2 linked regions of the Drosophila melanogaster genome follow. The protein of the gene in region 2 interacts with the protein of the main gene of each other region in a pairwise test. Each region holds a gene or a part of one and is shown on either strand. Other genes may lie near its edges.

Region 1 (3,427 bases), on a different chromosome or scaffold from region 2:
TAGGAACCTTTGTATCTCGACCGGTAATCTTGTGCAATCGTTTTCCTAACTAAAAAACTAATACACCTTCTCCAGGTACCTATGCCATCCAGTGGTTCCATTATCCCCCTTATCGCCGGTGGTTCCAGTATTCCGACTGGTAGAAGTGGTCCCCTTGGTTCCGGGGGCTCTTCTAACAACTTTTACCGGAGCGAATCCTATAGCTACACATCGGATGGAAGAGGACCTCCCCAAATCGAGCGGGATGTGTTCGACTCGCGGGATGGATTTGGATCATCTTATCGCAACTTTTAACACCTTTCCTAAGAGAAGCTGATGAATGAAAGTTCCGAGTTCTCAAAAACAACTAGTTAAGGCTGCTAGAGATTATACTGACTTGTCTGTGTGTAATGTAAAGATTCTTGGCATTACAAATAATCAGTTATTTTACTTTCCGCACGGTTTATTTATCAGACTAAATAACAATTGTATTGAATAGAAAGTCAGTAAAACTTTCAAAGCTATTGAAACCTGACAGCTTACAAATCTAAAAAAGGTATATTAAGGTATTCAATACCTTTGTAAAATGAATTCCACATTTCTTACGTCATACCTGCACTAAGTAGTAAACACTTACTAGCGTATTTATTATATGCTCATTGATTGTTAAATCAGCTGCAATATGTAATCAAATTTTAGCTTCCGGCGAGCGTGCTAATACAAAACATGAACTCTGGACTACTGGTTTTGATATTTGCAAGGCAGTTTCTGGAAATAATATATACGTTCGGACTATGTATCTGTAGTTATTTGGTTTAAACTTAAATGTACTTGAAACATGATATGTTTATTCAAATGAAATCAGAGTTGGTTAACTTGTCCAGCTTCTCATAGACATCCTTTTCGTTCTTAAAGTCATTAAACTGCTTGACCATCGCCGCGTTCCTGGCCAACCGACTGTCGGACCATGTGCTCATGTATTTCTCCACCTTCTGCTCTACGATTTTCAGAGTAGTTTCCAAGTTTCTTTCCAGGATCTGCTCCAGGTCCTCAACTCCGTGCTGTATGAATAGCTGAACGACAACCTCGTCAGCTTCCGATTCGAATTCTTTGCTGCCTGCAATCGAAATGATGCTTTCCAGTTCCTCAAGAGCATCCTCCAGTCTGTTCAGCTCGAATGAATCATCGAAGTCCAGGGTGTCCAAGGCCGCGACGAAGTCCTTAAGCTCCCTGAGAATGTGTCCCTTGGAGTTTGGTGGTAAAATGAGTTCGGCCTCGTCGATGACCAATTGAAAGACATGTCGTAGCTGTTCCATGGCGTCTGTTACCATTTGAAAGAGTTCATTGGACACTTCGAATTGTAACTGCCATTTGTTAATGAGAGGCGCTGCAAGCTGAAAGTTAAAGGTTTCTGTTGATTCCAAAAGGATATAAGCAAATCTAAGGATCTTACCGAAAGCTGGAGGGCAGCTACAGCGACTAGAAAAGTCCAAGTTAGTCTGCTGGCCATGATTTGAAACTGTATCTAGTCTCTATCGAACTGATTCCTTTTATATTCCCTCTCTTAAATTCACAATTTTTATACAAAATGGGAGAACGCCTCCTCTGTAATGAATACCCACTGATCGTGAGACAACGTATAGACTGTAATCAGACTTCAGAAATCGGTGAGCGTGATAAGAACGAGTGCTGCCCCTTCGTATATTAATTAGTGGGTAGTGGAAACCATGCATTTTGTTATTACAAAGTCGTATATAGTTCCAAGTCACGATAATATCTTTATTGCTTTAAAGTATCAGTTCTCGATATCTACACATGTTGATCAGACAGTCGGAAATTTTCCGGAAGTTAAACGGCATTTTTCAGGAATAAAGTCCTCGTATAAATAGATTCCGAATATTGTTCTTTGAAGTACATTTCTCATTTTATTACAAACACTTTCTAATTCTATGATATTGTTTAAATATTTAGCTATTAATCTTAAGCCTTCGTCCATATACCACTGGCCACCCCCTGCACCAAAGCCTGAGCCAATTTGGTGTAGTCCATTAGCTGGAGCTCAGGAAGTTGGCTCTTCAGGTTCTGGGGAAACTCCAAGAAGGTTGTGATCAGACTGTCCTTGGTTTCGGTGGCCAACTGGGTGACGTTGGAAACCAATTCCGACCTGTCCTGTCGACTGAGTCGCAGATACTTGGTAAGATGCGGCTTGACCTTGGCGAAGAATCTGCGGATGGCGATCTTCTCGCCGGGAAGAACCTCGACGAGCAACTTATCGGGAGTCTTATGGTACATGAGGTCGCTGTTTATCCAGGCGAAGATATAGAATGCAGTGCTGTAATAGTCCTCGTTCCCAGCAACCAGGTCGAGCTCCTCGAAGTACTGCCGATCGATGGTTTCGTTGGCCGGAAGACCCGGTAGTCGTTGGCGGGCATCTTCGATGGTCGTGTAGAGCACCTGATTGAAGAGCCTCTCCACCGCTTGAATTGTATTTCTCACCAAGATGGTAGGGCTGCGTTCTTTCACTTGGGATGAGTCCGCCAGAGCCTGGCAATCGAGAGGAAAATCAATAAGTTCCTTATCTAATCCACTGCCGACTCACCGACTCACCAGACAGATAAGACCCAGAAGCATCGAACAGCAAGTGCTGCCGCCGATAAGAAACCTCGAACTGCGCCCTGATCTCGCCATGCTCCTCTGATCGCTGCTCGATTTAGACTGATCATGTCGGACGGATGCCAAACGGTCTCCCCACCCAAACAATCTCGACTGGCTTAGGTTTTGTTTGTTTTATTAAGCGCAAGTAGAAAATATCTCAAGTACTGTTTATACGAATTTCGTAGAGTGAGCAAATTAATGGCCATTAATGTTCGTTCGTGGTTTTCTATTTAAGCTAGCTAGGAAAAAAAGATGCCGTCTAGTCGAATGTTAGTAGTAATCTGCATACACACGAGTAACATTAACAATTAGATTTGTAAATTACACATCTTAGCATATACTTAGGTTATTAGCAAGCTACTGCATTCTCATATTGATCCGGACTATATGTATATATATATTCATATTCAGCATTTGTAAATTGGCTTGTAACGGGAAGAAAGTCGTCCGGATAATCAAAATATGCTCATTCTTTTGTACACTTACAACATTTTCAATCTGATCTCTAAAGGTTGGTAAAATCGAAAAAGTGTTTTTAAATAAATTTAATTGTAAAGAAAAGAGTCTGGATTACCAAAACATCCTTAATAATTTGTACAATAACCATATTTTCTATATTATCTTTTAAAGTTGTGTAAAATCAAAAAATATCAAGGATCAAGGATCGTTTGGCATGCGATAAACGTCCTTATAACTATTTCATTTTGTATCTCTGCAAAAGTACTTATACATAAGTCTTATTACATTTACGTTCAGAATAATACGCTTTACCCGCGATTGTTGGCAAATGCAC
Region 2 (3,931 bases):
CGACTTTCGACTCTTCAGCTTGGACACCCCAGTCACAAAGTTGCTGAGGACCTCGGATTCGATGTGTGAGCGCTGCAGAGCAACCATTTCCTTGGCTACTTTGCCTTTGTTGTTTGGCGTGGAGGACTTAGCCTGATGCTGTTGTGGCTGCACCTTCGTCAACTTCATGGTAAGCGAGGAGCCCACGTTGATGTTCGAGGGACTCGAACTGGATGAGTTACTGCTGCAGTTGGCCGACCCAGGCGGAGCACTGACAATATACTTTTGACGCTTGCTGGGCATGATGACCGGCTCCATCTCGACGTGGCCATCCAGCGAGGAGCTCTGCAACTGCGGCTGTGGGCTGCCGATGGCGGAGAGGGCCTCAAAGTCCGGCCGGGGAATGGATTTTAAGCTATCCCCACTGCTGTCGCTGCTGTCCGTGCTTTCCATGCTCTGTGCGAAAGACTGAAAATGATACATTTATGGAACAGTCTGGCAATTGAGAAATCTAAATAATTGTTTGATGTTTTGCCTCTTAACTTATTTTTAGTTTTTTTCTTTCAATATTCGTGAGGTTGACTATAGCTATTTAATTGATAATGCTGCTCTATAAATAAATTTTAGGAATCCATATGTACAATATTGGGTTTTTAATATTACAATCAAACAGAACACTTGAAACTCTTTATTAGCTATAATGTCAACGAATCCCCCTCATGTCCTCCGACACAACAAATTTAATTTTGAGTAATAAGCTAGAGAGGACATCACAGTCGAGCAAAACCACAATTCTATACTTAGATGCAAGATACCTCTCGTTTTACGCGCAGGCGGATCGAATCAATTCGACTAGTGATCCTGTCATAACGAATACACAAATCTAGTTGCTTTCGGACCACCCTCTCTTCTACATGTAACACACTTGTGAATGGATGAAGTGTTTGCTCTTACTCTTCGAGTAATAGAAATTGCAGTGTGGAGGTGAGGGCACACAGTATGGTATAAGACCTTCAATTTCGTTAACAAGTACATATTTTAGCAATAAAATCAGAGACTTGGAAACCGCAAATACGATATGCTAAACCGTATCAGCCCGACTCGCCGAAGTGTGCCGAGTGTGACGAATTCGCCAAATGGGAATGTGTAAATGCAAAGTGTCACGGAATCGTGCGTGTTGTGTTTGCCGTTCTTTTTTGCGTCACCAGCGCAACTTCAGCGAGTGCTTGCGGCGTGTGCTCCGCGCTTCCTACTTATTTGCATCTGTGTTCGCTTCGCAAATTTTACGCACCTGCGATGTTCACGTTAGGAAGCCTCACTGTTACCACTCTCCCCTGGTGATTTGAAAGTGGGAACCATAACTGAGCGATTTATTTCGGTCCGATCTGTTTCTGGGCGAGATTCCTCTGTCGCATCTGCAAGAAATGTGTCCACGATGAATTTAGTGTTTTCAGTGTGTTGTGCTGCATGACCAGGTTTGCTGGTGCGGAAGTTAGAAGGGGAGGGGGAAGAGTGATACGCGGAAAGCGTTTCCTTCTGCCTGGCTCTTACCAATTTCTCAGGGCTGTGTGCGAAAATCGCAGATTTGACTGGACGCCTTTCAGATCGCTGTCTCCAAACGCCGGTTTTCGAGCCTTCTACGTACGGCGATTGTCCGACGATCGGCGCCCTCAATTGATGTAACGCAGCGCCTTCCTAGTTTAATTAATGGTTTTGTTGTATTTTATTTTTTCCCGAAGTAACAGTGCTGCCAGATGACAACAGTCCCGATGGCTATCGAGCTATCGTTGTAGGAAGATTAATCGAATAAGGGTTTTCGATACATTGATAGATGAGCTGATTCAGAACGACCACTTTCGATTGTGCATTGGCGCGCGTTTTAAATATTTAAGTCATTATCAACGAATCGAATTCATTTGAATTTTGAATCTGCATTACTAGGCAAGCTAAATTTTTACAATGAAGAACTAAATTAATGGTGCCCCTTTCAATACTCACGGGCACAGTTGGCAACGCTGGCTGGGGCGAATACTCGCTAAGCGAACTAGTTGGCAATATTGGTCGAGGGAAACTTTGCTTTTCAAAAGTAAAGTTTGATGAGTTCATAAAGTTTTCAATATGTATATACCATCATATTGGGTGTTATCGCATTATTATGTTTTCGAAATTCATGAGCAGACAAAGATTACTTAAGGACTTCCAATAATACACACAGTGACAGAATCCAAACAACAAGGCTAATGGCTTACCGCTTACATTTTGCCCTTTAAATGCCCAATAAATTCAGAACATTAATCATGAATTAATCAATGCAAAAATTAAATGAGTTTAAATAAAGGATTACATTTAATATACGGCCACGAGGGCCGTAAAATTTACTACTAGTCAGGGATTAGATTGGAAAGCACTAGGCCATAAAAGTAAATCAGCCACATGGTGGGACTGGGTCATGCATCATAATTTCAGGTAATTAAGTTCGGTTTTATGCGATGATCTGCTCTAATTTGGCTTTGCAAAATAATGAGCCAAATAATGACCAGAAATGCAAAAGCATTTACATGAATTTATAATGGAGCGAATAACCTTGAAAGTTCCATAAATCATTGGGCAGCTTCACGAAAAATCTTCTACGGCAATTCGAGGAGTTTAATTAAAATTAAAAGGCTGCGCCAACGAGACCAGCGCTCTGGACCCTGGACATTCTCCGGCACCACTTCTCGACTGGATATAGCCCTGCTGGCAGGTAAACAAGTTATGAATCCCATTACATAAACCATTTCCCAGGCTGACAATACCAAGCGATGTGTCTGGTGTGGGGGGAGTGAGCCGTAGCCCAAGGACCACGACCCCACAACGGTTGAACTTCTACAAACGGTTTTCATATATTCATGGCAAATTATAATGCTGCGAGAGTATAAAATGCGACGAAGAAAGACAAAAGTTGCCCCATTCATAAGGGTCACACTCGGGCAGGCACGGCCTCCAACCACCTACCTACCTGCCACCCACTGAGCCACCCACCCACCGACCGGCCACCTGTAATATGGACCCCATACCCTCTGATGGCTTCCAAAATAGCGACAATGTCGGGCTGCTGCTGGCCACGTGTAAACATGCATCTCCATATATCAATAAATTGAGATTACTTACATAATTTGTATTCCAAAATCCAAAAACTGTTAAAAAAGTTGCCTTGGCCCCTTTTTCATACGATTGGCTATGTGTGTGTGTGTGTGTGTGTGTGTGTGTGTGCAGTACACGAGTACATTGTGGAAAAAGTTTTTCTTTTCGAGTGAGAGTGGCTGGGGAGTTTTCCTCGGGGAGCAATTCGGTTAATATTCCGAACATAAATTTGCAAAGGAACCACTTTAATCAATGGCCAGGTAGGGGCGTCCGTTCAAGGGATAGGTGAGGCACATGGTGTGTATATGGATATGTATACGGCGCAGGGATCAAAGGACGAGCCCATCCCCGAACCTCCCCGCCCCGCTGTTGGCTCCTTTTCGAGGTGCAATGTACCATTTAGCGGCGGTATTGATTTGCCTGAGAAGATCAGAACAATGGGCTGCGATTTTTCCGGCTCATTCGCAACTGATTTTGGAGGCGGAGATGCAAATATCTGGTTGGCTTCACCCAGAAGATTCAAAAGGGCTCGCTTTCGGGTAACGTTTAATTATGCTTACTTTAAACAATAACTAAAAGCGGTTGGTACCTTGCCCCTCTCCAATTTATTTAATAATAGAAATTCGCTAACCATCGCCAGCTTCAGGCATAAATTGCAGAGTACTCCGGCTAGCCATGGGGGTTCGGATCCGGGACTCCATTCCGGACATTGTTTGTTTTTCTGGCGGAAAGAAGATGGAACAGTAAGTGGGACAGAGGCAGGGGTCCGGGTAACCGGCGATGCGTCCCATTCATAACCCATATTCAATTTCGTTTTGCAGCTCCGGCG

The links.
Region 1: the proteins of Zmynd8 (region 2) and OS9 interact in a two-hybrid assay, tested with the Drosophila melanogaster proteins (one large-scale study listed by BioGRID).

The regions. Positions count from the first base shown.
Region 1 is NT_033779.5:19,964,988-19,968,414, forward strand, and holds OS9 (Olfactory-specific 9), read right to left. Parts: upstream 1,524-3,427; 5' UTR 1,490-1,523; coding exon 1,433-1,489; intron 1,374-1,432; coding exon 831-1,373; 3' UTR 677-830; downstream 1-676. Other genes in the region: CG10680 (uncharacterized protein), read left to right, coding at 1-23, 76-294; Hf (helical factor), read right to left, coding at 1,960-2,523, 2,587-2,667.
Region 2 is NT_033777.3:31,667,280-31,671,210, reverse strand, and holds the start of Zmynd8 (zinc finger MYND-type containing 8), read right to left. Parts: upstream 1,747-3,931; 5' UTR 1,531-1,746; intron 1,395-1,530; 5' UTR 1,271-1,394; intron 448-1,270; 5' UTR 433-447; coding exon 1-432. UniProt on the Drosophila melanogaster protein: Chromatin reader that recognizes specific histone signatures to regulate transcription. Plays a role in neuronal development.